3 linked regions of the Astyanax mexicanus genome follow. The protein of the gene in region 3 interacts with the protein of the main gene of each other region in a pairwise test. Links are inferred from orthologs where the notes say so. Each region holds a gene or a part of one and is shown on either strand. Other genes may lie near its edges.

The links.
Region 1: the proteins of pnrc2 (region 3) and esrrga interact in binary tests that used the Homo sapiens proteins (3 or more experiments, as listed by UniProt). The link is inferred for Astyanax mexicanus from reciprocal best matches to the Homo sapiens genes PNRC2 and ESRRG.
Region 2: the proteins of pnrc2 (region 3) and dcp1a interact in binary tests that used the Homo sapiens proteins (3 or more experiments, as listed by UniProt). The link is inferred for Astyanax mexicanus from reciprocal best matches to the Homo sapiens genes PNRC2 and DCP1A.

What each region holds. Positions count from the first base shown.
Region 1 is NC_064421.1:38,112,604-38,123,628, forward strand, and holds the start of esrrga (estrogen-related receptor gamma a), read left to right. Parts: upstream 1-5,269; 5' UTR 5,270-5,554; coding exon 5,555-5,610; exon of another isoform or gene 5,611-5,614; intron 5,615-11,025. UniProt on the Homo sapiens protein: Orphan receptor that acts as a transcription activator in the absence of bound ligand. Binds specifically to an estrogen response element and activates reporter genes controlled by estrogen response elements.
Region 2 is NC_064419.1:11,675,099-11,686,879, forward strand, and holds the start of dcp1a (mRNA-decapping enzyme 1A), read left to right. Parts: upstream 1-6,025; 5' UTR 6,026-6,071; coding exon 6,072-6,206; intron 6,207-7,158; coding exon 7,159-7,199; intron 7,200-7,277; coding exon 7,278-7,405; intron 7,406-11,781. UniProt on the Homo sapiens protein: Necessary for the degradation of mRNAs, both in normal mRNA turnover and in nonsense-mediated mRNA decay. Removes the 7-methyl guanine cap structure from mRNA molecules, yielding a 5'-phosphorylated mRNA fragment and 7m-GDP.
Region 3 is NC_064411.1:32,344,066-32,355,089, forward strand, and holds pnrc2 (proline-rich nuclear receptor coactivator 2), read left to right. Parts: upstream 1-5,750; 5' UTR 5,751-5,936; intron 5,937-7,009; 5' UTR 7,010-7,225; intron 7,226-7,915; 5' UTR 7,916-7,936; coding exon 7,937-8,416; 3' UTR 8,417-10,849; downstream 10,850-11,024. Other genes in the region: uncharacterized protein LOC103038371, read left to right, coding at 50-576, 744-861. UniProt on the Homo sapiens protein: Involved in nonsense-mediated mRNA decay (NMD) by acting as a bridge between the mRNA decapping complex and the NMD machinery. May act by targeting the NMD machinery to the P-body and recruiting the decapping machinery to aberrant mRNAs.

The sequences.
Region 1 (11,025 bases), on a different chromosome or scaffold from region 3:
AGTGTAAAGTTGTTATTTTTGCTTGATTATTTATAGCGTATTGTGATATATTATTTTCTTATCATATCAAAATTACACTGAGCCTAAGCATATTGAGATCATCAGTAAAAAAAAAAAAACACTCCAACTGACCCTACATTTATTTATTAAATCCAGTTTTAATTAATGAATTGCAGTGGTTTTGACTTAGAATATTTATTTAGACTAAAAGTCATGCTGGTATTGGATAGTATTTTTTTGTGTAAGGATCTGTTGCTATTGATCATTACGTCAGTTATTTAACTGCAATCATGTGTCATCATGTATTATGATAAATATCATATTGTGCTAAAATGTCTTTAAATATTGTGATATATTATATTTTTTGAACATTTTTATCAGATCGCACAGCCCGACCTCTATATTATGTGTGTGTAAGTGTGTGTGTGTGTGTGCTCTGATGTCTCTGAATGCTCTGGCTCTGAATAAAGCAGCCCACCTCCTGAATTTATTAAGGCCCAAATTTGACAAGTTGATTTTAAACAACTCCAGCGGCGGCGGCCTGCATTGACTGCGCGCTCGGCGGCCAAGCCGGCTGACATGTGACCCGCGTGAACTTGCCCTCCCCTATTGACTGCCGTGATTGATGCTCCGCCGAGCTAGCCCTGATAATTCTTAGCCGCGTGTCAACAGCCGGTGACCAAAGGGGTCATCACTGTCTTTAACATTTCACACACACAAATACAGCCGCGCACACGCGAGCGCTGCCGGCTCACGCGCACATGCAGCGCACACGCAGTCGCACAAACAAACAAAAGAGGCCGTCTGGAGCTAACGACACTTTCTGAAGCCGTGCGTTAGTTGTGTTGTGTTTTTTATGCCCCTCTTTTCTGTGTTAGCACAAGTCTTTTGTCTGCCAGCACTCGAATTGAATATCTGCCTATCTCTGCGGGGAGATCGTGCCTCACTTTTGGAGGCGAGGCGAGACGAGGCTCGGAGGATGTAAAACACCCACGGCAGCGATCCTCCGAACAATGGAGGAAGGAGTTGTGTGAAAACTGCTAATGGAAACGAGGGGCAGCTATTGACACGTATCGACAGTCGGGGCAATCAGCCCGGCCTGGCCGTGCATACTTAAGTTCAAATGTATTCAGCAAGGCTGCAGGGATTAAAGCCTATTAATGACAGCCTGTAGCGAGAAGCCTGCCTCAACAGTCTCTCAGCTGCCTTTTTTCTGCAATGACTTTATGCTAAGGAGAGCAGGTTAGCTTAGTGAAGGCGTAGTGAAGAGCTGGCTTTTATGGCTGCTGTAGACCAACAACAGTTTTCTTGTATTGTTTTGGTGTTAATTGACAAGTTTAATTGACAAGTGGCAGGGGTTTACATTTTTTTATTTTTACGTTCATTTTAAAGAAGTGCAGAAGAGCAGCACTGTAATCTTTGTAATGACTGTAATCATATATATATACTTATACTTATATAAATATACTTTTACTTATATATATATATAGGTATATATATATGTGTACTTTTACTTTTAAATATATATATATATATATATATATATATATATATATATATATATATATATAGAGAGAGAGAGAGAGAGAGAGAGAGAGAGAGAGAGAGAGAGAGAATTTTACCACTTTTTCTACATAGTCTCAGTGAGAGCTGGGCAATATATCAAAAGTATTATTATTTTTTAAAAAATAGATAAGAATTTAGATAAAAAAAGTTGTGGAAAACATATGACTCTCTATATACAGTATAACCACATGGTAATATTGTGCCTTCTGCATAGGTTACCATTTATCTATTATTTATTCCATCAAATAACATGCATAGGTCATTTGTGGTCATTTGCTTGGTTTGGTTCCAGGAGGTTTGACACTCGACAATTAAAAGAGCAGCATGTTGATTTAAAGCAAGTGCAGTTTACTGAATCAATGAAATTTTGTGACAAAGAAAACAACTTTCTTATGTTTATAAAATATATTAATTATTTTAAAAAACCTGGATGCACTGATATGTACTATTTAAATATCCAGTATACACTGTGTTTTTGATGTTACACATAAATACAATATACATTTTCAGTCATATTTCCTAGTCCTTCTCCCAGCACATACTCTAAAATCTAAACATATAAACTGTACTGCAAAGACTCAAAAATCCCCCCTTCTCTTTTATTTGTATTTTTTTTGTCTGAACTGTGCAAATTACGCTTGTTTTTCCACTCATCATCATCATGATTCCTGCATGCATCTGAGCTCTGAAAGCGCCGCCGATTACTCTGCTTCTGCATGCGCCCACCATTTGATCCGCAGACATCTTAATATGAGGAATGTTTGTTAGTCCCCAGGGATCTTTCAGAGCGCAGGTATCCCCACTCCTGCCTTTCACATGCCGGCGCGAGTGCCGCTCCTCTACCATTCGCTCCTCTCCTCCTCCAGTTCTCTGTTCAAACTGCGTAATTAAAACATAGTTTAAAAACATGTTTTTTTTTTTGCTCCATGCAGCTTTGAATCTGAGCTTTAGTATTTTTTTGATCAGCGGCCTTATTTTTGTGATGCTCAGGAGTAGTATACATTGTTTTAAAGCAGCCACATGAATACATTAGTGCAACTTTGCAAAGAGAAGTTGAAATATTTAAATGGGCGTGTGTGTGTGTGTGTGTGGTGTAAAAAAAAAAAAAAAAAAACTCCTTTGTTAGGCTCACCGTGTCCTTCAGCAGTGCAGAATACTTATGCTTTCACATTGCTTATGCTTTTTCTTAAAAGGAAATACACTCTCACTCTCAGTTTTTTCTCTCAGCTGCTTAACTAAAATGCCAGGTATTCCAGATCCAGTTTCTTTTATTTTCCACAAAAAGCTTCACTCTAAAGTGTTTTTCTAGTCTTTTTTCCTCACTAATTCATTTGTTTCTATTCCTTATAACTTAGGCTTGTTCATTGAGTCCTTGGCAACATTAATCTAAGATTTCATTCACTGATGCAGGCTAGTAAAAGTTCTGAATATATATTTCTATGTATGTGAGAAAGTATGCGCTTTTGCCACAAAATCTTGATAAATATATATTTTTTGTTTGCACGCTATATTGCAATTCGAAATCTGTAAAAAACAACCAAAAAAATATAAACAAATGTTTTTAACAAAAGTCAACACATCAGCTCATTCACAGTAACAGTATCACAATATATAGCAATTATGCAAGTACAACCTAATAAAATACAATCAAACTTAAATAAAAGTTTGGGTGATGTATATTTTTATATATTTCTACGTAAGCTGCTGTAGTCCATTCTGTGTGTATCTGTACCTCGCTGTTATTGAAGCACTGGTCACTGTGTAACAGCCTTAAATGTTAGTTCATTCAAGTTCATTCATATGTAAGAATGTTAATATGCAACAGTAATAACACAATGGATAAGTCATGTGTATGTATTGTTTAGTAAGTTGATATTGTTATTAATAATTATAGTACAATATCATGACAGGCCTTATCACAAATAAAATAAATATAATTTCATAATCTGTCCAGTAATAATCTGTAGATAATGGGTTATATATTTTTTTTATACATAGATAAATTTGGCTTTAAATTTCATTAATCATTTCATTTAAATTTCTTTAAACTTCAATAATCTCACTCTTAGACATAATTTAGATAGTATAGTTGATAGTTGATAAAGAAGATACTGTAAAGATGCTGTGCCCATCAGACTGTGCTTTATTTAAGGAAATTCCCTTACAGCCTTACAGTCGTGTAAGTTTAACTGCTGTGTGCTCTCTTTTGTTTTGAGGCGCAGGAAAGGTGTGTTTTTGGGGAGAAACAGGGGCTCGAATCTGCAGCAAGTTTTTGGATTACAAAAGGCGGCCAGAGACAATTTGGGCGGCAGCGTGGTGGGGCAGACACAATAGTTAGCTGGCCGCTGCGGCTCCTGAATTTTCTTATCAGTGGGGAATTGCGCTGCGCTGAGAGCCCAGCAATATCTTCCCTGCTGCTGCTGGAAATGCAGCGAGCGTGGTGACACACACACACACACACACATACACACACACACTCAGACATGTGCGCACACATTTACACACACGCACACACACATACACACCGACTCAGGAACAGAGAGAGAGGCGCGCAAATGTGGCCCAATCATTCTGAAACAAAGGGGAGTCTTTGATCTTTTCTCACGGACGGACCCAATCCCCCCCACCCCTCCACACACACACACACACACACACAAACACACACCATGCCTGTGAATAATACAAGCCAAGCCATCATAGTTTTGGTCCACTCCAGACAGCTCAGCTTCACTTCAAAACATTCTCCACACTTTTTTTATACACTATATACTCTCTTATACACACTAGCTATCTATATACCACATAGAGTATATATGAGAGTATATAGTTATATAGTGCGGTAGTGTGGAGAACTTTCTGCTGAGAACTTTTTGCTGTGTGTACACAAAAAAAAAATAGAAATTCTTATAGTAGAATATATTAATATATATATATATATATATATATATATATATATAGTAATTATATGATTGTAGTATTGTACATACTACACTATATATTGTTTATAGCTTTATAGTATCCTCATATAATTTATACCATATATACACTATATGCTAAATTCTTTGATGTACAGTGTATATTTATATAGGATGTATTATAACCAGTGCAAAGTCAGTTAGCATAAGCGTATGCACATGCCCCAGTTCAGAGGTTAACGTAAGTGCTTGTTCTTACAGTTCGCTGGTTTCCAGTGTGGGATCTACTGGCGCGGGACCTTCCCGGTGCAGGCAGGACAGACAGAAGGCGAGAGAAGGATCTGCAGAGGGAGGTGAGCGAGAAAAGGAGCAAACACATTGCTCGCAGCACACAGCTTCATTTACAATGTTTTGTATCAACAAAGTGAGCGCCTTTATCTCCACGCTTGACAGTGTGAGCCCGCAGATAAGCAGTGCTGCGAGAGAGAGACATGCACCGCACTGCCTCTTTAAATCTCTCTCTCTCTCAAGCTCTCTCTTTCGTTATACCCCCCTCTCTCTCTCTCTCCCCCTCTCTCTCTCTCTCTCTTTTGCGCTTGCTCTATCAATCTATCTACCCCCCTCTCCCCTTCTTCTTTCTCACTGGCTCTCCCCCGCTTTGTCCCCTCCCTTCCCCGTCCGCCCGCTCTCCCGGCTCGCGCACACAGCACCTTGTCCGGCTCCAATTGGCTGAGAAGTCACCAATCTGGCGTCGGGAAGGGCCGGGGGGACTGCATATGCAAAGCCTCGCTTCATATTAATGAGCAGCAATCGTGGCTTTAAGTCCTTGATTAGAAGAGTGCAAGAGCTTTTGGTCCCAACTGGCTGTGCCTATAGGCTTGTCACCGGGAGAACGCTTTCTGTTAATTGCACCGCTCGAGTGACGGGACAGTGAGAGGAGGAGAGAGAGAGAGACAGACACAGAGAGAGTGAGAGAGAGAGAGAGACGCAGAGAGAATAAGAGGCAGAGAGAATAAAAACAGAACTTTGATTTATATAGAAGGGCTTGCTCAAATGATGGTCGCAGAACGCAAATGGAGTCGGTAGAACTTTCGCTCCCCGAGTGTTTCTCGTTACACTCTGAACAAGAGTAGGTAAATTTTACCTTTTCTTCTTATTCCTCTACTACTTATTGCTCTACCTGTGACTGCCTGACTTGTGTATGTGTATGTGTGTGTGTGTGTGTGTGTGTATATGTACAGTATTTGAGTGTGTGTATATGTGTTTGTATAGATGGTGCTTGTCATTGCTAGTCATGTGCGGATATATATATATATATATATATATTTTTATGTGTGTGTGTGAGTTGTAAACAGTATGTGTGTGTGTATGTGTTGTGTTCCTGTACGCTACCTGCAGTGCATGTCTTAATTATTAATATTAGCAGTATTATTATTATTGGGGAGATGGACCCATAGCATGTCCAGGTTGTTGATATTCTTACCGTTACTGTCGTTACTATCGTGGTCACTGTAACTGTCAGGTAGTTAGTCTAAAGCCTACAGTGTGTGAGAGAATAAGAGTGTTAGAGTGTGTGTGTGTGTGTGTTAGTGCTAATGCACAGCTATAGGTGCAGTGTGTTCAGTAATAGAGAGAGTGTCCCTTACCTGTGTACTTGTACTGTTGGTTAAGCTTCCCTTACAGGGAGCGAGTGCTTAAAGTGCAGCACTCTGAATTCTCAGAGAATTCTTTCTCACTTTGTGTGTTAAAACTGACCTATTCATTGTTCAGCCACTCTCTAACTACTATAAGTGGAATAATAGAGAATGAAGAGAATGATTTTATATATTTTTTCATTTTTTTAATAAAAAACGAAACAAACAATGAAATAGTTAATTTTTGGCGTGTAGGACCCTGTGTTTGTGAGAAAGTATGGAAGAGGCATGATGCGAGAGTAAGAGATTGTAAGAGAGAGAAAGAGAGAGAGAAGGGAAGAAAGTGGTCCTTAGAGAAGGAGAGCTTGAATCACTGACCGGCCGCTCAGCATGTGGCTCACCGGAGGCATTAAGGACGGCACGCGAAAAAAAAAGTGGCGGTGTGAGAGGGGGTGAGAGAGTGCAGGACAGATGATGGGGGGTTGTGGTGGTGGTAGTGAAAGTGGCCCTGTGCTTCAGCTCCGTCTCGCTCGCTCTCCGCTGTCAGAACGGCTGGAGGAATCCCTGAGAAAGTGATCCATAAATCAGTCCCAGCTGAAGGGTTGAGCTGTATATTTTATATTTTATAATTTTATATTTATATATCACTTTTGTGTGTGTGTGTGTGTGTGTGTATGTGTAAAATAATGGTATTGTAATAATAATAATATCTTAAATAATGCCATTCTTTCGTGTAGTGCAGCTTTGAGACTGATCAAAACTTTAGGAATCTTGATACATCATCCATATCCACGTATATATATATATATATATATATATATATATATATATATATATATATATATATATATATATATATATATATATATATATAATTGTTTATTCTAGTCTATTAATAGTTCCAATCTTTAAACAAACCTTCAGCTATTTTTTTACAACATATATACTCTTAATATAACATATACATATAATTGTATTATATCATAAAGGAGCATGAAGTTCTAAGTGGGTTGTATTTGATTTAGTATTTGGCAGTCAATGCAAGTTTATTTATTTATTTATTTATTATTTTGTGTCTGTGTGTAATGAAAAATCACACACCATAGACCACTGTCAGATTAAATTGAATTTTATTATTACAGATATAGGCCTCTTTTTATCTCAAAAAATAAAATGACATCTTAATATTTTAACAAGTTAGCATTGTTCTGGCTTTATATATATATATATATATATATATATATATATATATATATATATATATATATATATATATATACAAAACTATATATATATATTATATAAAACTATGTTAACTCTAGCGATGTGGGCAGCCAGTGCAGGAATCAGAGTCAGGGCCAGGGGACAGAGGGGACGCGGGAGGCACGCGAGAAAGCTCGACCTGTGCATCTTCCTCTTCCTCAGTGCGTGCATGCAGGCAGTACCAGAGGAGTTATCATGAGTGCAGATTTGATTGTTTGGTTGTTTGATAGTTTTAATTGATTGATTGAAGGATTTTACTTTGAACACACACTCTCTAACACACACACACACAGATACAAAGGTTGGAGCCTGCAGGATGCAGTGATTCCTGTTCAGAAAGTAGAAGTGTAATATCATGCACGGATAATGTAAAGGTGGTTTAGATCAGTGAAGCCCTGGCTGAGGTTCACACAGATACAGAGAAGGTTGTGGGATCCAGCTCTCAACCAGAACAGCTCGGCAGCTCTTTACCTTCGGCGTGCTCATTACGCTCTCTGGATTAAGGCTTGTGAAAGTAAATGTAAAGATAAGAACATCGCTTTTCCACAGCTTGCTTCTCTTTTTTCCCCATTTTCCTCATTTGCTGCTTACTTACCGTTTGATCTTTTCTTATAATACAAATTAACTGGCAATATTCTAATTAGTATATTAACGCTGGCAATAACAACAAGTGGCAGTTAAGCTATTATCATAATTACACTCGCTTACTGCCATGCATGTACATTTCATTTGCATGCTCGTTTTAATATTTACACACACACACACACACACGCTGCACAAGATGAGGTTTAGGAATTCAGATTCAATAATCCAAAAGCACATTTCACACCCTCTCTTTGTTTTTAAATTTCCTTTCTGCGGGTGTGTGTTTGTGTTTGAGATTGAGATATTTGCTGTTTGTGCAAAGAAATGTCATTACAAAAATTATATATAAATACATAAATAAATAAATAATTCTTTTTTATATAAATATAGTGTTTTTTATTTGCTTTTACTTTACAAATTTTTACATTGAATTGAATGAAATTTGTGATATTCCTTATCGTACGTCTTTGACATTTCGCATGTACACACACACGCACACGCAAATAAAATAGTTGTTAAACTGATTGTGTGATAATATCATGTCCACACACATGAAATATATAAATATATAAATATTATTTGTTTCATATATGAAAATGTTAGTATTTTTCTGAAAACACCAATTTAAATTCAACTCAGTAGTTGGATGTTTCAGTTTAAAAACAGGAAAAATTGTGGTTTCGCAATTTAATTGTTTTATATGTGTAATAATTACACGAGACACACAATTAATACAATTTTCCAAAAATGCAAGAATCTGTGTTCACACCAATTTTTCACGGCAAAAATCAAGCGACATCCTCCAGCAGAATAGCGGCAATCAAGGGTGTCTGTTCTCTCGGCGGCGCTCAGATCATTTAAATTGTACCTGGTATCTCGGTGAGCGTTCAGGCGTGTACGACCTTTTGTCGCTTGGCCGTGGATTTGCCGGCTGCTCGGACCTGCGGTGGCCCTTGAAGAAAATGTGATGATTTTTAAGCTCATTTCCACCTTTTCTCTCACTTTTTTTTTTTGCTCCGTGTGAGAGGAGAGGGGGTTGAAAGCCCCGGAGGCAGGGAGATCAGAGGGGGAATAAAGGGAGATTGCGTAAATTAAATTCCATTTAATCTCCTTATAAAATCATTTAATTAATTTATCTTTTAAATTATGTCAATATTCATGCCACTGGTTTGCATTCTTATTTAGTCCTCTGTCTGTCATACTCCTTTTTCTCTCACATGTGCGAGAATGTGTGTGTGTGTGTAAGCGCTACTGGCATTGTTGCTTTTGAGCTTGTTTGGATTCGGGTCTTTTCGCTGTCCCTTGTGTGAAGGTGTCATCCTTGTGTGTGTGTGTGTGTGTGTGTGTGTCTGTCTGTCTCTGTGGCCTGTTGTCGATTTCTGTCTGGACACTCTTTTGTCTTTACGCCGTTCTGCTCATAGAAGACGGAGCTCTGCCACTTCCTCTTGTTTGAAGGGGTCTGAAGCATTCCAAGGGTAATTAACTCGAGTTAAAAGAGACAGAATGCCACCCCCGCCCCTCCGTCCGCCGGGACTCTTTCAGGAGAAAAGAAGGGATGGGAGGGCAGTAAAGAAAAGAGGGGAGGTATATTTTTTGGCCTTTTGTTCCAAAGGTGCAATAAGTGGCCTCTTGGACTTGTGCAAGTGTACACACTCGTACACAAACTCAGGCACACACACACACACTCACGTGAAGCAGCCGCAAAATAGTCACACGCAGGTGCTGTGCGCTTGGCATCACACACATACACACACACACGCACACACACGAACTAGAGGGGAATAAAAGAGCACAGGGACTGATGATGCGATTGTCAATTTGTGTGATTTATGTCACACAATCCGTCATCATTTGTTTTCAGTTCTTTTAAAACTACTTTTTTTTTTTTTGAAGACAAAATGAAAACTCAGCCTTAAAGGTTTTAATCAGAGTTGTTACACAAGATTTTATACTGCAATTAATAATTACACCAATTACACTTTATCCCTAATAGGAAAAAAATATTTCGTTTCATGATATTTAAAGATTTTTCTGAAAGATTCATAATCTACGCTAAGAAAATGGATCAATAGCTGAATAACAGTGTTCTTAACAAATGCCGAATTATTAAATATAAAGCAATTAAAAATTGTATTTATAGTAAAGTGTTTTACTTTAATTCGTAATATGCTTTTTAAAATTAAACACAACTACAGTTATTGCACCGTTTGTAATTAAATGTAATGCTCGCTCAGTTGGTCAGTTTTTTTAAGCACTGATGATATCTACAATATTATAAAATCAGTATGATATATGATAAAATATCGTAATTTTGACCCATCTCTTAGTTTCTCTGGTCTGTGTTGGTAATCTCTTCATCTCTCATGCTCTTCTTACCTCGTTCTGTGACTATTCCCGTCTGTATATGGTATCCTTTGCTGTAGGTTTGAGGAGAGGAGAGTAGGTGCGCTGGAAGTCGTGGTGTGGGATGATTAAGTTACAGGAGGTCAATAGAGGCTGTGGTCAGTCTATAAGCAGGAGGATACGGTTGGGTCAGATGAGCATGTGAAAATATTCAGTTTTTCACTCAGAGTGTTCTCTGTTGGAAGCAGGACCCGAGTGCTCTGAATCAGATGGTTTTGGAATTCTTTCTCTGGCTTTATGATTATTGCACGCTTGTTTTATTGGTTGTTGATAGCTGATGAGAATTGATCAGCTGGTATTTGGGTTGTCAACAATCAGATGTGTTCATATGGGTTTAAGTAATGATGGAATTAAGTGAGGTTCAAGTAACGCCTGGTCTCTGTGCATGTGAAACAGGGTAGAAGCTTCAGGAAGAGGGGGGGTAGAGTCTGGATCGTAACCATTGGATTTTGATTTTTCTTTTTTACCTCCACTGCTCTTGTATTAAATGATGAAATTGTCATTGTCCTGTAGCAGAGAAAGGGAAATGAATGGCCGTGTGGGCTGGCAGCTGACAGTGAAATATTTCAGCTCTTTCTCCTATCATACTTCATGTGTGTGTGTGTGTGTGTGTGAGCATGTGCCAGTAAAAGAGAGAGAGAGAAAGAGACAGAGAGAGG
Region 2 (11,781 bases), on a different chromosome or scaffold from region 3:
GAAATTATTTTCTCCATCAGCTTGTGAGCATCAAATTTATGAGGGAGCCACCTTGAATGACCTTCAATTAATAGCTGTGCCTCGTTAAGAGTTGCCCTCTTAATTAATGTGTTTGAGAGCATCAGTTGTGTTGTAAAGTGAATAATACAGTGAACAGCCCTTTTTAGTATTGTTATAATCCATATTATGGCAATAACTACTCAACTAAGTAAAGAAAAAAATATTTTAATAAATGAAGGTCAGTCAGCCCAAAACATTTCCGGAACTTTGAAAGTATCCTCAAGTGCAGTCATAAAAAAGTTTTGATGAAACTGGCACTCATTAGGACCACCCCAGAAAAGTAAGACCAAGAGTTCCCTCTCTTGCACAAGATAAGTTCATAAGATACCCTGGCTAAGAAGAGTTATGCGCTGGATAGTTTTTGTGCGCATAAAGATAAAATTGATTAGGTTTCTTTAATCTGCCTGTGTATTCTTATTAAGAAACAATACTTAGGATATCTATGCTCCAATAGAAGCAGGTGAAAACCTGGCCGGCAGGCTCCATCTCTGCCCTTCAGGACTGTTTTGAGTGCACTGCATGGGACATGTTTAGGGTGGCTGCTACTGAAGGCAATTCTATTGATTTGGAGGAGTATGCAGCATCAGTCACTGGCTACATCAGCAAGTGTATTGATGATGTCACTGTCTCCAAGACCATCACCACAGGCCCAAACCAGAAGCCTTGGATGACTGCTGAGGTACGTGCGCTGCTGAGGACCCGCGACTCCGCCTTCAGAGTGGGTGACAAGGTGGCCCTGAGGAAAGCGAGAGCCGACCTGTCAAGAGCTATCAGAGTGGCAAAGCGCGCACACGCCCAGAGAATCCACAGCCACTTCAAGGACACGGGTGACGCGCGGCGCATGTGGCAGGGCATCCAGGCAATCACCAACTACAGGACAATGCCACCGTCCTGTGAACGTGATGCCTCCCTCCCTGATGCCCTAAACAACTTTTATGCACGGTTTGAGGCACAAAACAACACGATGGCGAGAAAGACCATGCCCAAGCCAGACGAGCAGGTGTTGTGCCTGACTGCAGTGGATGTGAGGAACACTCTGCGCAGAGTCAACCCACGAAAAGCTGCAGGACCAGACAACATCCCCGGCAGAGTGCTCAGGGAGTGCGCAGACCAGCTGACAGATGTTCTCACGGACATCTTCAACATCTCCCTGTGCAGCGCCACTGTCCCAACATGCCTCAAGTCCACCACCATCGTCCCCGTGCCGAAGAAGTCCACAGTGTCCTGCCTCAATGACTACCGTCCCGTTGCACTTACACCCATCATCATGAAGTGCTTCAAAAGGCTAGTCATGAGGAACATCAAGACACAACTGCCCTCTTCACTGGACCCCCTGCAGTTTGCGTATCGTCCCAATCGCTCCACGGACGATGCCATCACCACCACCCTTCATCTCTCCCTCACCCACCTGGAGAAGAAGGACACTTACGTCAGAATGCTGTTTATAGACTTCAGTTCAGCATTCAACACCATCATCCCACAGAACCTCACCAGGAAGCTAAGCTCGCTCGGCCTCAACACCCCCCTCTGCAACTGGATCCTGGACTTTCTGACAGGTAGACCCCTGTCAGTCCGGTTCGGGGGCAGCACCTCCAGCACCATCACACTGAACACGGGGGCCCCCCAGGGCAGTGTCCTGAGTCCTCTGCTGTTCACCCTGCTGACTCATGACTGTGCTGCAAAACACAGTTCTAACAGCTTTATCAAGTTCGCCGATGATACAACCGTGCTGGGTCTCATCACCAAAGGCGACGAGTCAGCATACAGAGAGGAGGTGCAGCGGCTGACAGACTGGTGTACAGTCAACAACCTTCACCTGAATGTGGACAAGACAAAGGAAATGGTTGTTGACTTCAGGAGAGCACAACACACCCACTCTCCACTCAACATCGACGGGTCCTCTGTGGAGATTGTTAAGAGCACCAAGTTCCTTGGTGTCCACCTAGCAGATAACCTCACCTGGACCCTGAACACCAGCTCTACAGCCAAGAAAGCCCAGCAGCGTCTCTACTTCCTCCGGAAGCTGAGAAAGGCCCGTCTCCCTCCACCCATCCTCACACTCTTCTATAGAGGGACCATTGAGAGCATCCTAAGCAGCTGCATCACTGCCTGGTTTGGGACCTGCACCGTCTCTGACCGCAAGACCCTCCAGCGTATTGTGAGGACAGCTGAGAGGATCATCGGCGTCTCTCTCCCCTCCATCACGGACATTTACACCACCCGCAGCATCCGCAAAGCAACCAGCATTGTGAATGACCCCACTCATCCCTCACACGAACTGTTCTCCCTCCTGCCTTCGGGAAGAAGGTACCGCAGCATCCGGTCCAGCACCACCAGATTCTGCAACAGCTTCTACCCCCAAGCCATCAGACTCCTTAACTGCAGAGACTGAACTGATGGTTTTTCTGTACATGCACACACACTCTTACCCCACTTACCCCAGAAAATGGAAAGCACTAAAAACCCTACTACCTCACTGGACTCTATTGCACACTGTGTAATAGAGTAATTACTACCTCACCTGGTCTTTTTTGCACACTGCAAAATTTGCACACTGTCTTGTTATTTATTTATTATTCTTTGTCTGTATGGTGTTGTATTGTCTGTCTGCACTTTTGTACTGTTGCACTATTGTTCTGTCTACACTGTGTTTATGTGCACCATGGTCCTTGGAGGAACGTTGTTTCGTTTCACTGTGTACTCTGTATATAGCTGAAATGACAATAAAAACCACTTTGACTTTGACTTTGACAGGTGTACCCTACTGTTACATTTTGGAGCTTTTAAGTGAAAGCCTAAGATTACGTTGAGCTAAGTTAGTGTAAATGTACAAGGAATATGATTAATTTACTGTGCTTATATTTTATATGGTTATATACTGTATACTATAACGTTTATATTACAAAATTACTATTTATTTATTTATTTTATGTACAGTGAATGATCATAGTTGAACCATGATGGTAAAAAATACAATACAGTACAAAATATTATCTTAATCTGTAAAAAGCATATATTAATAGAATATACACATCTAATTGTTTATTATAGCCTGTTTATGGATGTTCATTGTTTATTATTTTAACTGCATATGCCTTTGAAGACTTCTAAGTGTGCTGAAAACCAATTCCCATGTAACTGATCTTGTGTGCTCAGGACAGTAGCTTAAAAGATTTAAGTTTATATTTAGAAGCAAAGTAAGCATGCTACAACCAGTCTATAGACTATTATCTTCAGGATTCACATTGAACAGCGCTAATATATCATTAAATTAGGTCCTGCGTAATGACCTACTGCAGGAGCCTAAAGGGCCTGAACAAGAAACAGCTTCCATCCACAGACAGCTTTTTGCTTCATGAGTCAGACCCTCCTCATCAAAGTCTTACCTCGGCGCCCTGCTCTCCAAGGAATGAATGCCATTCACCTCCTGCTGATTTGTAGCCAAAGGACGACATTAGTTTGCCACATTCCGCCTTGAAACTGGAAGAAATATAATGTGCTGTATGTGAAGACTTATCCTACAGGGTTGGATTACCTGCCCTAGCAGCTAACACTTTCAAACTGATAATCTCCCAATAATAATCCAGCTAATGTTCCTTACCATAGGGGGTTACTGATTTATTCCAGGCCATAGCCTGGTACTTTCTTCTCTGTTTTCTTACTAAATGTTTCTCCGACAGTCCCATTCCACCTTAATAAATGTTTAATTCATACTGTGTTGTTCAAAATAAACACTTTAGTACAACACAATTACTAACTATAAGAATGTCTAAAGACGAGGGAATTTATAATCTGAAGTTACAGCAATTGGGATTTGTGTGAGATAATAAAAATTGAAAAATATATATATATATTTCAACAGACTTATTTACAGAGGGAGATTTTATGCCGTTTGAGCTTTTTTATTAAATATAGTTTGTTTCACACTGACATCTTGTGGTAGCTTCTTTTCTCACATGGCTACCACCTGCAACGAGACTTCTTTCTGTCAGTGACAAAACAGATGTTCTCCTTGTGTTCCACAAGCAGCAAGAAATTAGTCAGACGTAATGTTAAATCTGGTTGATTTGTTGTTAGCTCTGGTTTAGAAGCAATAAGCATAATCTTGGAGTCATAATTGATTTAGATCTATCTGTTACACCTTAAGCCTACGATTGTCTGGTTTTTTTTTTCTTGGTCCTTTATGTTCCTGTCTTCTGCTCTTTTTTTGTCTCCGCCCAAGCCCAGCCTTGTCATAAGTGTTCCCACCTGTGTCTCTTTTGTAACCATGCCCCCTTGTTAACCTGGCCAGGTGTTCCTTGTCTGTGTCTGTGTGCATATATACAGTATGATGTACTCCATGTTTTCCTTTGTTCTCTGCCATGCATTATTTGATCCTGTTGATTGTGTTGCTGTTTTTATGTTTTTTCTTTTGTTTTAGTTTGTTTGTTTTAGTGATGGCAAAAGTGAAGCTTTTGGGAGATCGAATCAAATGAACCAACTGATTCTGGAAAAGATTTGATCTTGTGAGACGTTTAAATCATCATTCCCCACAGTGAGATCTGACAGGCAATCAAATCAGCAATGTGCCGGATATCCTGGTGTTGACAGGAAACAGTAAATTAATGCAACTGAAATTTATACTCAAAATTCCAATAGAAATGCTGCAAAATGTATTTCATTTTGAAGTTCATGAAATTAGGAAAAAAATATGTTCATTTTAGAGATATAATGTTTTAATCCGTCATTGTCTCAAAAGAGAAATCGCTAAAGGGTTTCCCGGCCTTTGTAGCAAAGCCACTACAGATGGTCCAAAATGCAGCAGCATGCCTGGTCTTTAACCAACCAAAACCAGCAGGCATGTCCAGACATCCCAAGTTGCAAAAATTAATTTCAAGGAGTTTTGATGGGAGCCATAAAAAAAAAAAACACTGTCCGCCCACACTTAAAACTGATTGGCTGACTCAGACTCTTTCCAGAGAACAGGCAAATCAGTACCCTCTCTTCTTGGAGATTTTGTGACCTGCGGTCATCAGGCAATCTTTACTGATATGCAGTAGACTCCTGCAACTTCCAGAAGAATTGGCAAGTCTGTATGTCACCCCACTGCTCACTGAGCTCCACTGGCTACTATTGGCTAACGTTGACTGCTCGCATTAAATGTAAAGCTCTTACAATTGCCTACAAGGTGATGAAGGAACAGCACTCACCCTAAATGTCTATTACCTCCCAGCCACTGCGTTCCTCCTGGGAACGTTGTCTAGATTTACCAAACATTCACACAAAGCAATCCAGACAGTTCTCTTACATAGTTCCCCAATTGTGGAACAAACTACATACTGCTACCAAAGCAGGAGCATCTCTCCCTATCTTCAAGAACCTCCTAAAGGCAGAGATCTTTAAAGAGCACTTACTTTCCTAACACCACTAACTAAAAATAAATAAACTAAAATAACTACTTTTAACTACTTTTTACCTCCTCTATCCCACTATTTCCATTTGGCCTCCTTCAGGCCCTGCCATGGACTTTAATGTCCTCTATTGCTAAATGTACATAATTATTTGTACGTTTATTTATTTGTTTATTTATTTTATTTATTTGCACTTTACTCATAGTTACTTTGTCACCTTGTGGACTTCCACACACATATTCTAGATATCTGCACATGTATATAGCATTGTAATATCTATATATTTTACCTTACATCTACAGTGCAATACCATATGTCTATAATGTTATAGAGTTATATAATATATAAAGTAATTGTGTATATTGCTTAAGTTAATTGTATACTTTCTATTTTATTTTATTTATTCTACTCTATGTTGTAAATATTGTTCTCTACATACTAGTGGGAACTTGCACCCAAGTTTTTTACTCACCTTTACATTTATAATAAATCTTTCATTTGATTTTATACACCACGCGGAACCAGTGTTTTGTTGCCACCTGCGTTCCTCCGGAAGGAGAAAGCGAAGCGGTGCTGTGTTCCCCTCAATTAGTTCCGTGCAGCCGCGGGCCAGTGTGCAAGATGGAGTCAGTGAATAAAGCGGGGCATCTGATGAGCCTGGCGGCCCTGCAGCACTACGACCCGTATATCAACAAGCTGCTCGACGTTACCGGACAGGTCGCGCTCTACAAGTTTAACTCTAAAGCCAGCGAGTGGGTAAGCGGGTGTTTTTTTAGGCTGTGGCGGAGTGATTAAGTTAGCTCAGTTAGCCGATTAGCTATCTCTCTCTCTCTCTCTCTCTGTGTTTAATGCTGAAGCTCCGAGTTCTCTCATTCACTGTAAATAACGCAGCTGTTAAACTACGGTGTGTAGCTAACTTAGCTAGTCTGTCCAGCCTCAGGATAACTTAAACTAACCTACTCTAGTTACAGTAGAGGGGTACTTAACCCCAAATCATAATCTTTTGTCATTAAGAGTTAAATGTGTTCCTCTGAAGTAATAAAATCATCAATTATCAGTCCTGTTTAAAATAGTTCTAAACTTTTCCTAACCTTTAATACCTTTTAATACACGATTTTATTGCGTTGACTTCTGCCTCTGCAGTGCCTTCACAGATTCAACTGTTCTATAGGTAAAGATGTTTTCATGTACTCACAATATGCAAATCAGCCCTCCCTTCTGTCCCGCCCCTAAACCCATACATCACTCAGTGCTCCTTCCAAACTACTCCTTAATTTATTTATTTTTTTTTTTTTTTCAAATTTGAGCTGAGGATGGAGTCTGTTAAAATCAGGGGATTTAGTTACCAAAAATATTTCTTATAATAATAAAAAATAATAATAATAAAAAAAAAATATATATATATATATATATATATATATATATATATATATATATATATATATATACACCATTAATAATAAAAAAAACAATAATAGTAATCATAATAATGTGTGTATATGTGTCCATACAAAAAAAAAGTTATGTCTACAGGACTATGGACAGGTAATTGTAGTTTATTTATGAGTGTTTATTTTGTGTTTTTATTGTATTCTTATTCTTTACAAGTTTTGAACACAAGTGTGTAGTTTTTACTTGTGCTCAGATATGAGTAATATCTTTAAAGCCCAACAATTTCACATACTAACGTGTAACTTCCTTTTCACAGGAAAAAACTGACATTGAAGGCACTTTATTTGTTTATGCCAGGTAAGTATTCTCTAATTTGTATAATCAGTTGGCTTTGCTCATGTACTGTATTTAGAAGAGAATTCTCTATTTCTGCAGGTCAGCATCACCCCATCATGGGTTCACTATCATGAATCGTCTGAGCACAGAGAACTTGGTGGAGCCAATCAATAAAGACTTGGAGTTTCAGCTTCAGGACCCTTTCCTGCTTTACAGGAATGCAAGCTGTAAGTGTCCACACTTTTGTTTAAGTACTAGCATGGAGTTTGATAGCCCAAATACTTGTATTGAAAAACACTTACATAAAATTTTGCAAAACTTTGGGGAAGCATAACTCTTTGGTACGCTGTTGTAATGTGTTATACACTCTTTGTATAAAAAAAGTTGGTTTGATGTGTCCATTTAGGTAAGAAGTGCATTGGCTTCTTAGAGTCTTTCGAGTATATTGCATTGCCTTTGGTTCTGTCAGTGACCAAATCTCACACTTGATGCAAAAATCTCTTGTTTACCACTGTCTACACCTGTCATACGCATTTATGGCACCGGTCAGGTTTTATAATTTAGATGCAGATTACTCTAGATGCCAGCTAAATGGCATAAATGTTAGACTTCATGTATAAACTTTTATAATTAGGAATGTCTGCTAATAAATTGTGAGATAAAATCCCTTTTTGTGTAACAATTTATATAATAAGGCATTTTGCTCTTATTTTAATTTGATTTCAGTGACCATTGTTTAAGAGTGTTTTTAGTGTGTTCAATCATGATTTAAAAACAAAGAAATGTGTGTAGATCTACCCTCAGAAACATCCAGTGTTTCCACAATAGTTTTCAATAGTTTCAGATATAATGATGTTTTTTCTGTTTCTCTGTAAAATACTTCCAAACTCCAACTGAACTTGTTCGCTTATCTTCTGAGAACTCTCCCCAGTGACACTGGTTGGGCATCAATGTTTGTTAATAGTGCTTTAAGAACGTCAGATTTAAAACAAACACTCAGAACTTGTTTAGGATTAAAGTTCTGATTCCCTATGCCTAGATTGTCAGAATCCCAGATAAATTTGGATTAATTCTGACATCTGTAATACTAAATTTACCTATGATTTAATGGATGTAAATTTAGACTGCTTTCATTACTTGCCTTTTGAAGACTGTGATCAGTCTAGGTATGTTATTTTGGATATATAATTAAAGTTTAATGTTATAAAAATAAAAGCTTTCCATCGGCTTATGGTGAAAATTTAGAGCGTGTGCTTGAAATGACATTTTAATAACATCGAGTGTAATGGGAATATGATCTTTATCTGTCAGTGAGTTATATTGGAAGGCTGAGATTTTAATTTCCCTACCAAATATGGGTGTTTATTTGAAGCTGGGCCTGCAGAGATTGCAGTTGAGCACGATTTCAACTTCAGAGATGGAAAAGAACATGAGATAAGGTACCCTTGAGATACTGCTTTGTGAAATTCCTTTCCCCATTAGGAATGTTTGTAATGTTGTCGTATTTAGTTTCCAAAGAAAGCCAAACAAACAGACTGTTTTTTTTTTCGACTGTCTTTGACCTGCTTTGTGATCTGTTCATGCATGACTTCTTAAGTTCTGGTTGTTTTCCCCTCAGTGAGGAGATGGTTTATCAAGACTTCTTAAGTGTTGAAGGACTTGGCAGAAAGTGTAGTTTTGTGTGTGTAAACAGGTTTACACTGTGTACAGGCAGCCGAGTAGAATAATTTACTGTATGACTTTTAATTGATGATTTAACCACGACCACAGAGCAACGACCACACATTCATTCCAGATGTGAGTGGTATTGGTATTTGCTTTACTTTTTCTTAATTTAAACTGTAAATGCTGTAAACTGTAAATAGTTGTTGTTTAATTGATGCTAAATCTAAATCTCAGAAAGCCCCAAAAAGATTTTTATTGGGAAATTGCACACTGCTAAATCCACATTAAAAAGACCAGTTGTAAATTGTAAATTACACTATGTTGAATCAAATTTTCTGCTTATCCAGACATGTTTTGTGACTCTCACACTTTAGGAATTTCTTACACTCTCGATATTTTGAAGAGTTACGTTCGGATACTTAAGATCAAAAGAAGTTCATACTTCTTCCAAATACACTTCAGATGTTAGGCTCTCCAGGAATGAGGGTCTCTGCTGCTGTTTGTATACAGATTTTAGATCATGTCAGGCTACATTCTATTTTTATGAGTTTCCATCAATATTGAGGCCAGCTATGAAAGAACGCAGAGCTTTGGAAGAGGCCATGTTCGGTAGCATTGAGGACTGTTTGTCTCGAGTGCCAGACCGCCTTGATCTACTTGATTTACTGCATCAACATCAAGCATTGGTCAAACGGCTTCCCGCTTCAAACCAGTTGACCACAGCTTAAATATGCAAAAACAAGTGTATGAAATAGGGCTGTCAACATGTAACACGTTTAATCTGGAAACTTTAATACCTAATTAAAAAAAAAGGGAGGGGGGGATTGTTCACATGACAAGTTATACTCAGATTCTCTCACACACAGCTGGTGGTACATGGTTCCTATTTTCAGGTTGATAAAGATAAAAGAATATGGAGCTACACTAGCATTTTATTTCTTCTATGAAACTGCTATAGTAACTACTCTGATTTTTAGTAATCTATACGTATAAAAAAAGTCTCTAGTGTGCATGGCATAACACACATAACAAAATCGATAATGATTTTACTTATAATAAAATGGATTCCTGAAAATTAAGTGATTTAAACCAATATTCTAAATATAACTGAGCAAATCAACACTTATTTCTTGGCTGTTATTTAAAGCTTGGTCTTAAAAAGAAAAACAAAATATGATTAATCACAATTAGTCACATAATTCTGATAATGATTAATCAGATTTTTTATTCAGTTAACACCACTAATATAAATACACTCCCAATAACATTACTTGAATTGTTTATTTTATTGATCCATTTATACGTTTATTTTTAAAAAAATATTTTGGTATGAAATTAACAATGTTAACGGTGGTATTAAATGACTGCACTTTTTGGAGTTATTGGTATTAAATAATTTTTGTAAAGATTATACAGGTCTTGTTGACCTGTTTTAAATACTAATTAAAACTAAAACAAAGAACATTAAGATACCTTATGGCAGGCCCGTAGCCAGGGGGGATCGAAGGGTTCGTTCGATCCCCCCCATCCCCCCCCTCAGCCACCCCAACTCCCCTCCTGCCCCCAGAGTAGTGACGAGTAAGAAAAATGGTTAATGTTTCTCTTTACACATTTTGTTCAGACTGTTTTACACCAATCCAGTAGGTGGCGGCAATTCCCCCGTTTCTGTTCTTAGCTTGTGGAAAGAATAAGAATCAGGGGAAAGTTACTTGACAAAATGGGTAAAAAAGAAGACAAGGAGCGAAAACGGAAGAAAACGGCGGTAACATTGTCCCAAAATATTGGTGACTTGTTCAAAAAAAGGCCCAAAATCGGTAAGCTGCTGAGTGCAGGGCTTCTATTTCTTTACAACTCCCCTGCATTAACAGTGCCGGGCTCGGCTAAGCCCAATAGTATATTGTACATGTAACACCGGATTATTACTGTTATTATTGGGATAACTCCAAAGTCTGGATTTTAGTTGAATTTTAAGAAATGTAGGTTAAGTGACAATAACATTCAGTCACTCACTTTGCAATGCTGACGATCAAGCTAGGGTGTATTTTACTCTCCATATATAAAATACAGTATAGAGGTGTAAAAAGGGGGTTAACCTCTTAACACGCCCTGGCCCGCCGGCGGGCCAGAAAAATATAATATTTAATATCTGGCTGTGTTTATGAATACTTATAGGTTCAATAGACACCCAATATGCCATTTTAAAGCTTTTCAGTTATCTAGCCTATTTAACCGTATCTCCTTTCAGAAAATAAACATTTAGGGCGAAATATGCCTAGTTATGAAATATGATTTTCATATTTGCGTTTTTCCTACGTCCATATTTGATCGAATGCGGACATGTTATACACCATTCTAACCGTCTGCCTCTCCGGATTACGGAACTGTGTTTAGAGTTTAAATCTGCTTGTGTTTCGCTTTGTGTTTAACGTTAAGTTAAGTTAACGAAGTCCCAGCACAGTTGTAGGAAGATTTGAATAAGACAGAACACTTCAATTTATATTATTATTAATTCATGTTTAAGTTTTAATGACAATACCGATAGTGAAGTAATTCTTATCTATTTATGTCAATAGTAGAGAGATAGACAATAAAGGACAGCAACATCAGAGACAAACAATGGAGGGCAGCAACAGAGACAATGGAACAAAGCAACAGACAACTGAGGTGAACAACAGAGACAGACAATGAAGTCTAGGTTCATAAGGACAGCAACAACAGATTCACAACAAACTTATAATAAATAAAATATGTCTAAATTAAAAGGTTTGAAGTGTGCTCGTGTATTTAGGGGGCATTGGAGTAGAGAGCCAAATGAAGTCCACTTTTGGAGGAAAAAGATCCCCCCCATAACAATGCTGGCTACGGGCCTGTATTATGTAATAAAGTATAAAAAGGGAGGTCTTTCACAAGCATGACACAATTTCCAGGATGTTCTGCA
Region 3 (11,024 bases):
CCCCTTCTAAATTGTGGCTCTAGTTATTTTAGCCAAACCAACTGCAAACATGAGCACCAAGCCTACAGACTCACAGTCTTCATGCGCAGAGACAGAGACAGACACGGGCGCTAAAATTGGTCGCACTGAAGAGCTCAGTGACTTTCAGCGTGGCACTATCGTAGGATGCCACCTTTCCAAAAAATCTATACGTGAAATTTCTGCCTTGCTGGAGCTGCCCCGGGCCACTGTAAACGATGTTGTAGTGAAATGGAAGCGCCTAGGAATCACAACGCCTCTACCGCGAAGCGGGCGGCCACACAAGCTCTCAAACAAAGACGTCCAAATGCTGGAGCGCAAAGCAAGTGAAAATCAGCTGTCCTCACTTACAGAACTCACTGCTGAGTTCCAGTCTGCTTCTGGAAAAAAAGTCAGCCCCAGAACTGTTCGCCGGGAGCTTCAGAGTTTGGGTGTCCGTGGTCAAACAGCTGCAAAAAGGTCTAAGGGAGTCAAGCGCAAAGCAGAGCCTGACCTACAACCAGACAACGAAGAAACAAACAAGATGCAAAAAGAAAGTGCTGCTTCTAGTAACGATGGGTGAGTTTCATGTGTGCAACTTGTTTGGGTATTTTCTGTGTTAAGACCATTACACTCTTAACAAGACACAAATAGACAACAAAATATATATATAGTAAATATTTTGACATAATCCTCCAATGCTGTTCACAATGTTGACACAAATACTAACAAACTCTTTGTGTTAGGAACCCTAGTGCCTGTGAAGAGGATCAGCGACAGATTGAGCCAACATCTGAGCCCACAGACCAGCCAATGGACAGAGAGACCTCCACAACCAGCCACAACACTGAGTCTCTAAACTAAAGATTAAATATAATCTTACAGAATGTGGACTCTGCAGTCAAGCAGACAGAAAAGAAGGACTCTCAAACGTCTCATAATTATTTAACAAAAAAAAGGACAGTACTTTGGTTCATTATAAGTTCATAAATTGTTTGTGAGATTTGATTCCTTAGTCTTTAAACTGTACTGATACCTAGACACTAATAGTCAGCAAATTCCCTATTAAGGTATCAGCCATTTTACCAATGTTTTGTAGACACTAGGAATTTCACCATGGCCTTGAGAAGATGGAATGAAAGGTGGTAGGCTCTCATGTATTACAGTGTTTTTCTTTTAGTAAAAAAAAAAATATTGCTTGAATATATTTTTACACCTAGGAATATTTCTGGTCTCCACAAGGTCTGTGGTGTTTGGTTTAGGTTATTTTTAGTATTGGTTTATTTTCTGGACAAGGACAATATGGGCACATGGACTATGATTGGCCCCTGAGACTTCTGATATTTTGAGGAAAGACTTGTTTATGTTCTCAAAGCTAATCTGCTAAACATAAGGACATGGACACAAGGTTGCAAACTCTGCAAAAATTGACTGCAGATAATTATTTAAAAGCCAATCTAGGCCTTCACTTTTATTGATGGAACATACAATTGGATGTTTATGAACTAACCCTTGTCCCTTTTATGAGAATGTTGCTTTACTTTTTCATGTAAAGTTGCCTGTTTGAGATCATGTTGATTTATTATTATTGCTAACGTTTCTGCTAGTAGTTTTATTAATTTTCTTTTTTTTTTCAGCAAAATTCTGAAAAAGATTAACTAAATCATGTTTAAAGTTAAATTCTGATTTTATATCACAATCATGGAATAAAAATCGGGTGTTTATCTTAGTCTAGCTCTGGTGATTTTCCAGTAGTGTGCAGTGGCATTGATGCATAATCCCAATCTAATTTTGTTGGTATCAGATCCAGGTTCTAGAGCTGTTTATTGGCAAGAATCAATTCAATATGTATCATGATACAGGGGCCAAGATTCAAAATATCACAACATATTGTGATACTGTACGCAAGGCAATATATTGTGATGGTTTAAAATCAAATAAAAAAAACTGTTACTTGCATATTGATGTTGTCCTACACTCATAATAAATTAAGGATGTACTGTTCTGTCTTTCACAGACACACACACACACAAAAAGTTACTTGACTGCAGTATTTTAAAGAGGGTTGGACCTGAATAGTCAGGCTGGATTATATTGTATTAAACACATTATAAAACAGTAAGTAAAAAATCAGCTCAAAAATAAGTAATTTTACTTCAGTTTAAAATTGAGTGGCTACATTATTAATACAGACATAAACGTGACCAGTATTGGTATTGGCTGATACTCACCATTAAATGAATTGCATCGGATCTGAGCGAAAAATTACTTGATTAGGACATTACCAGTCTTATGTATAATCCTCACTGTATTCATAATGGGTATAAACTCTGCTTTCTTTCATGACACTGTGCTCTGCATTTCCACACGGATATTTTACTAAAGTCAAATCAGATTCCTGAATGTTTTAGCACATGGTTCTCAGTTCTGGTAGTGCATTGTTTGGGGGATTTCCCTTCTAAAACACACACATTAACAGTGACAGATGAGTTGAAACAGGTGTGTCTGTCTGAGACAATAAATCACTGAGATGTGTTGGACAATGGTCCTTCAGTAAATGAAACTGAAAAACACTGATATAGTGTGAATGGAGGTAAAATCCTGTAGTTATGAAACAAATGCTGCACTAATGCTCACAGTATTCGGTTTGGTGAAGCGCCTTGGCATGTAGGGAAACCCATATTTAGGGTCTAAACCTTTGAATATTTAGTGCTAAATAATTGGCTAACTTTGTTGATGAACTGTAGAAATCAGTACTGGCCCAAATGTTTTACATCAGACCATCAACATTAATTTTTTACATTGAAGGTACCTTGAGGAAGACCACCGTTTTCAGTGTAGCTGAGTATTTACAACAGACAGGGATTGAAAGAAAATAAAAATAATTATATTTAATCACCTTTGACAAAAGACAGTTAAAATGCAAAGGTAATAAATTTAAGTAAATAAATGTAAGAATCTAGGAGGGTTTAAATTAAGAAAGCATAAATATAAAAGAGATCAAACCAAACATACCTAGATAAACTATTAAATAATAATAAAAAAAAACAAATGGTAAAAAGTCAATACATTTATAAACTACAATATGCCCAAACACACTGTATGAATCCATGTTAATGTTTGTAATCCACAGAAATTTGCAATGTCAAATCAGCAAGTCATGCCCACCTTAATAAAGCCTAGATGCAGATTTGGGTAACTATTGGCTTCCAGTGAATGTTAACAATGCTCCAGTTCGTATTTTAAAAAGCTGAACCCAGGCACCAAACATGCCTGGGCTGAATTATGGCATTTGGAGTGAGTGGACACATGTGTTTCCCATTCTCTTAAACAGCCACTTGTAACCCAGATTCAAGCTGCTGTCGTTTTTCAAGCATTTTATACTTTAGGTTTACAGGAAGAGATCATGGGACTTTTAAAAGATTTACTGGATTTATTAATTGTATCCTAGGACACTAAATGCCACCAAACATCAGCACATCCCTTTCATGAACACCTTTTATCAATAAGTACTGTTTCTAAATAGTAATTACTATTTTGTGTTTATAGTATGAATCTAAGGATATGTTAACAGAGCAGGTAAAGGCTGCCTGAAATAATTTTGAAGGGCTGTATGCATTTATTAATAAACTGTTAACTCTTATAAACACCTATAAATAAAGTTGTTGCAAAGTACAAATCGATCCCCTCCAGTGCCTCCCATTCAACATTTACCCCTACGAGACTCACTATGAGGTGTGAGGAGCCACAAATGCTCGGCTCTAGAGCACCAAACATTAACAGCTCATCCCCACCCCCAACTTCAGGCCAAAACTCCTTCTAAAGAGAAAGAGAGTCATCTTCCTGCCATTACTAGCACTACTACAACCCAAACTCCACACCTTCTGATCTGGTGAAGTGAGAAACATGGGGATGGGTGATAACAGCCCCGTACCCTGCGAGAACTGTTTGAGGTGGTGGTTAGGTGTTGGGGAAACAGAGTGTTTTCTTTGTTTTCTTAACTCAACCAGTGTTTGCATGTTAATTATTAGTTGGAAATAATAATGTTAAAGACAGCTGATGTGTTCAAATGATGTAGAAAATATAAACAGCAATACATAGAGCACATACAGTTAAGTCCATACATATTTGGACAGTGACACAGTCTTTATGATTTGGGCTCTTTATGCCACCACACTGAATTTAAAATGAAACAAATGCCTTGGAATTGTAGAGTTTCTGGTTTAATTCACAGAATTAAACAAAAATATCTTATGAGGTGTTTAGGAATCACAACAGATATTTTTACAAAGTTACCATATTGCAGGGGTTTAAAAGCAGTTGATGAATTCATAAATAAGATGATAATTTTTAAAACTTTATTAAGAATCTTTTACAGACAATGACTGTCTGAAGTCTGGAGGCCATGCACGTCACTAAATACTGGGTTTAATTCTTCACAATGCTTTTTCCAGACATTTACTCCAAATGTCTTCAGTTGTTGCTGATTTGTGGGTCTTTCAACCTTTAGTTTTGTTTAACTTGATCGGCTTCAGATCTATTGATTGACTTAGATTAGTACATTTCTTCTCCTTCTCCCTGGGTTGCTTTTGAACTATGTTATGTGGTTCATTGTTTATCTGTACTGTGAAGCACCGTCACCAACCTTGCTGCATTTGGTTGAATCCGAGCAGAAGGTAAATCTCTGTTTACTTCAGAATTCATCCTTGTGCTTAAGTCTTTTTTAATAAACAATAGTGACCCAGTGCCATTGAAAGTTATGCATGCCCATACATGTTATACTGAGGATGTGGTTTACTTTCTGTCAAGCCGGTCCAAGCCTCTCCATACTTTCTTCTTTCCATCATTCCGGTACAAGCAGATCTTAGTTTCACCTGTCCAAAGAAGGCTTCTTTAGATGTTTTTTTGTCCCCTATTATTTATTATTTATGGTAGATTTGGATACTGATTATAAAATGCAAATATTGAAGATTGTGCCTCTGCCCAAATATTAATGGACCTAACTGTATATAATAAAAGAGACTGGAATTTCTTTACTTTTGGCTGTGTGCTCTTCAGTGACGGTAGTTTTTCTGGCTATGAGTCATGTTGTTGGTACAAAATTAAGACATGTATGTTTATATGTATTCAGCATACAAAGATTGGGCTCTATAAACCAGTGTTTATATGCATATGTCATCACCTGGTATTCGACTTAAAAGAATAGGTTAGGTTATATTCTTTTTCCGAGTGAGATTCAGTTCTTGTCTTTTTGTTTTGTCTTTTTTTTCCCCACATGGAAGAGTTGAAGAGTCGTAGAAACGTGCAGGTGTTGAAATATGATCATATTTCCCAGTATAAATATAAGAAACTGTATAAATGTGAGTATGTGAAGTGAAGACTGTTGGGCAGGATGAACAGCTGGCACTGCTCAACGTTGCAACAAAGAAGAGCAACACAAACTAGAAAAAGGACTCTGGGAAATAGTCAGAAAACCTGATTTACGAACTGTAGAGAGTGAAATGCGCTCAATAAGGAATGTAGAATGAAATTAAATGGGATTAAAAAGCTGAAAAACGTACAAAACAAACAGACAAACACCAAAACTGAAATGTTTTCCTGTGTGAAGAAAAACCCCCACAGATGGTTGCCTGGCTTGTGACGTAACGAGCGCAGCAACAGGCCAGTCTCGGTCCTCCTATTGGTCAATGCGCTTCGCTGTTCTACGCTGATTGGTCGGTTCCCGCCAGACCTGAACTACTTATTCTTGCTGGCGAGGCCATTTTGTTGTGAGAGAGAGAGACGGAGGAGAGGAGAGAGGAGTAATCCGGGCTGCTAGTTTCGGGAATTTAGAGGATTTTTACACACCGTGTGAGGAACTTCTTCCCCCAGAGCTGCAGCAGAAATAACCAGCCTGTATCAGACGCCTGGCTTTCGCCATCAGAACCCGGAGGAAGTCGGTAGGTCGACGGTTGTTCGGCTCTGTTGTGTTTCTTCACAAAGCCCGCCGCCATGTTTGAGAGGGACGTTTCTTTGTTTTGGTGTGGAGCCAAAATTCATGTCCTAGATTATCTGCTTTTACTGTAGAATATGTTTTAGTATATACTCCTTAATATATAACTCGCATTAGTTTATCTATCACCAGACTATGAAGTTCGTTGTTAACTATCTAGGTATCCTATTTAGATAGTTGTTTTCATGGTTCATAATTTATTTATTTAACCCCCCTCATTATTACTCAGTCAACTGTTTAATGTAACTTAAGGTTAACCTAAGTTATTTAACGCACGAGTTTAAGATAGGGAGGCTAATCTACAACCTAGCTAGGTGTAGATTGTATAATTTTAATATTCCTGGCATTTAAAAAAAAATCTACATTTTGTTAAGTTTCTGGAACTGTAAGTTACTTGGACACTTAAGCTTAACTTTTATGTAACGTAGCTAATACATGATTAAAAAGATCAGTAAGCTCTTTTATGTAACACAAATACATTAAGCTAGTTTCGCTATCTAACTTTAATTTAGTTGTGGGTTGTATAATTTTAATATTTCTGGCATTCAAAAAATCCACAATTTGGTTCAGGTAATATTAAGTATTAAGGACTAACTGGCTGTCTGGATGCTTAAGCTTAAATGTTCTTAATACATTTAGCTATTACAAGAAGAAGGAAACTGAGTATAATGTTAAACTAGGTTTCCATGGTTCATAGTTTGTTTTCAGCGGAAATACTGTCAACCATAAGCTTAAATATCTAGGTCGACAAATAATTGTCTTCTCTTGCTTGGTTCTTAGTGTTTGCTTGGTCTTTTTGTTTATTTATCTATTTTTATTTTGTCTGTAAATCTCTTTGCTTGGGTTTAATACGCTGTAACAGACAGCACTTTAATAGACCACAAACATTACTTTTTTTTTTTTATCCAGTGTGATTATCCCCACAACTCTAAATTCATATTCTAATCTTCCCTTGAGTCTGTTATTTGTAGAAAAATTACAAAACTGCCCCCACTCAATTCTTCTTGTTTTCTTTCACAGATCCGCGGCTTCCCAGTGCGCCGTGTGCTGGGGTGAACTGATGTTCAGCTCGGCTTCACGACCAAACATCGCTTGCTGGCACATGAAAACCTCAGACACTGTGGGCCTAAAGCGTGCAGTGAGAAGTAGATCGACTACTTCGAGGACCTGGAGCCCGATTGGTGAGGAGAAATTAAGAAATAGAGACATCTACGCACTCAGCTTCAACACAAAGAGGTAAGCCTGTACTTCCTCAGACAACATTGTGGGGGATGGGCTGAGGCTGCTGCCTGCTCTGCACGTAGGTCTTTGTTATTGCCAAGCAAAAGAAACACGACCAGTTTTATTTCCTTTTCCTTTGGACTTCCTCCTTCTAGTTAAACTTTTAGTCAATGTAGCAGTAGAACATTATACCCCCTTCGATTAAGCTCAGTTTTGCATATTTTCTCCCAAACCAAAATAAGCCCGTTATGTAATGTTAATGCAGCATGGATTGTGATCAGATTGTTCTGTTTTGTTCAGGTTTTCTCTGAACGAAACCTTTTTTTTATATTGTATACATGACTATTGTATACTTAAACTGGCAGAAATGCATTTTACAAAAAAATTGAGCTCTTGTAGATTTTTAGCAGCTTAAAAACACATCTTTTGGTGTATGCATTGGTGGTCTGGTCGTGTTCATCAGCTTGTTTAGTCATTTGTTTTTATATACAAGTGATTAGTGAAATTTTTCTTTAAATATTTTCGGCATTTTGTCTTAAGTTTCAGTTCTTTTTGTCCTGATTTTTACATTAATTATTCGAAGGAAAGTTAAATATTTTCTATGCTGCAATTTGTATGCTTCCCCTCTTTTCTTTGCTTGAAACCAACAATTTTAATGCCCAAAATAATTTGGTTTTAACAAATGTACTATTCTTCTTCTTAAAGGTGACATCCAGTGTGTGCAGTATGGGAGGTGGTGAGAGATACAACATTCCAGTGTCCCACCCCGATCACTCGGTGTTGAAAAAGAACCACCAGGTTGGCAGGGCCAAACAACGAAGCCGTAACCAAAACGGAGGCGTGCTTGCTGCGTCTTCTGGAGCCCCAGCGGGCCCCCATCTCCACGGCCATCGCAGGAGTGACAAGGGTAGCGGCTACTCGTGGTCTCCCGAGGCGCGGCAGGCCGTGTCCATGGAGAAAAAGAACGGGACTGTTCGCTTCGCCACACCGTACGACCAAAACTGGGAGGGCGCAGTGTCTCATCTGAACAACCTCTTGGCAGCGCAGTGTGGCCATAGTTACGCAGGAGCCAAGTTCAGTGACCCCCCATCTCCAAGCGTTCTTCCTAAACCACCCAGTCACTGGGTGTCTCTGCCCATGGGTCCTTGCGATCGCCGTGAGATGATGGCCTTTCAGTTAAAGAGCCTTCTAAAGGTGCAAGCGTGAGGATGACCTTCACTTATGATCTCTCGATGTTTAACGATCGCTCCACTTTGGACTCCTACCTTCCTGGAACGCTGCAGTGTTTTAATACCAGTTTTTAAACCCATTTTAACAAAGATTTGTTTTAAACTTTGAGCAGGTTTCCCAGATGTGGTCAAGGAGCCTAAATCTGGACTAAAGGCTAGTTTTCTGTGGTGAATTTTCATTGATTTGAACATTTTGTTCACAATTAGGCTTAAACCAACTCTGATCTAGATTCTTTGGTCCAGATTAAGATTAACTCTGGCCCAACTGTTTTTTTTAATAGTACAACATTAGCTATTTACATTTCTGTTTCATTGAAGACTGGCCTTAATCCAAGTAGATGGAACTGGGCTATGTATCCTTTTTTATTATTACTATTTTTTTAATGTCCCAAGAGGTGTTTAGCTGCTGCAGCCTTGCAGGTGGGAGAGCTCTTAGTGGAGCTGTATGCCTTTGATGAACGATGAACTGTTTCCTCCTCGCTGTTTTTTGTTTTGTTCTTTTTTTATTGGCCGTTAGTTACGTTACACATCGCCAGTTTGACAATGCATCAGTTTTGTTTTTCTACTTTCCAGAATCTTATTGCTAGCCCTCTGCATGACGTTTTAATCATGATGGGGTTGGGCAAAAAGTTCTCTGAGCTAAAGCACATCAGCATTTGTAGCACATTGATCTTTAGATTTGAGTAACATTCGTCTAGTTTCTAATGAGAGGGGGGATGAAGCTGCTTGAACCTGCTCTAAAGAGCAAGCTGAGTGTGGAAGAACAAGCAGTCAGTCAGTCCTAGGTTGTGGTTTAACCTTGGACTGGTGTATTTGTGATGCCCAGACCTTGTGCTTTCAACTCCTGTACTTTCTTTTTAAATTGCGCTGTGCGCACTGCACTATGGGTGTTGAAATGCAACAAGGTTTGTAAGTTCCATAGCATTATTTCTGTCGCGTAATCAATCGTTAGTATTTGCGTTTACTAAAGCAATAGCTTTGTCCCCTTTTGCTTATCACATGGTTAAGTGCCATATGTGCCAGAACAGGTGAAGTGTTATACATATATCTAAGAATACAATCAGTAATGTTTTGTTTTTTATTTTCAAGTTTTTAATAAGCTTTTTGAGCATCCCTTCAGAACACCTACAACACAACTTCTATGCGGAGGGGGGTCCAAGCTGCCTGCAGGATGCAAGGGTGGTGATGTTTTTTCTCTACCTTTGCTCTTGCTTTATGGCCTTGTTTGTGTTGTGGTGTGTTCTGAGGTGATGATTTGGAGCACTGCGCACGTTTTGAGACGCGGGACACGAGTATGGATGTGTTTACATATAAGGAGGGGAGCAAACAAACCAAAAGGTCCTACCCGTAGCCTGCCAAAACCATACACTTCCCTTTCATGCTTTGTGTTCACTTTGCACTGCTGTTGAGTTACTGTTCTTCCTGTGGCGGGTACATTTAACAAAACGGCACCCCCTACCACCCTTAATTGTTTTTTTTTTTTTTTCATGTGTTAAATGGCGTGTGAAATTGTCGGTACCTCTTGCGCAACCGTTAACGGCCGCCTAAAAGACGATAAAACGAAGCTTGCTATGTAAGAAGAGCCATGTAAATAATGAAATGTATAAAATATTGTAGCATATTGTACATTGCGCAGGGTTGTTTTAAACCTGCTGATAAAGTATTTTTAGTAATAACACTGAATGTGTAAGTCACGCTGAAGACGTGGCTTGATTTCAAAAGATGAAATATATTATTTTTGTTTAAAAAAAAAAAAAAAAGATACTGTTTGCCTATAGCATGTGGAAACCCCCACACTGTGCTGACTGTTGCCAGTGATCTTGCACATAATGATGCTTTTATTTTGTATAATGCACAGTATTGAGGGTGAAAACAGGCTTTTGAGTGCAAATAAAAAAAAAGATGCTGAACTGAAATTTCTAAATTGAAGAAAAACTTTTACACTCACACACTTACTTATTTTGCTTTTTTTTTTTTAAATCAGTTGTTTAGGCACTTTTTCAGTAACTAGGATTGTATTCATATAGTTCTCCTTGTGATTTTATTTAACTTTATACTTCTATATTTCTTAATAAATAGCAGCTATTTTGCACCCAATACATCAGCCTTTCCTCCGCATGTTGATGTTTTGGGTACATAATCGCTGCTCCAGATAACCTTTTTTTTTTTTTTTTTTTGAACTTTTCCTCTTCTCCCCTGCCCCCTCTTCCCCTCCTCTTTGGGTCTGTGTATGTGTGTAAAAGTTTTTCTATTTAATTGGCTCTGAATTTGTCCCAACCTTTAAAGTGTCACTGTGGAAAAAACACAAATGCCCCATTTGATTGTAATTGGTATGTTCTAAAGATGTTTTTGAAAGCACTGCATAATTTGGCAAAAAAATTAAAATAATTTCCCTTCCCTTCCCCCACAAGTGTGTATGTGTTTTGATATTGTTGTGCTTCTGTTTTCTTTTGCATATTGCAAAGCTTTGGTTAAACAATGATATTCTTCATACTATTTTGTAGTTCCCAAATCAAGATGTGATCTACACAATGCTGGTAGAATTTAAACCAAAGTTCAGATTTATTTTTATTATTAATTATTAA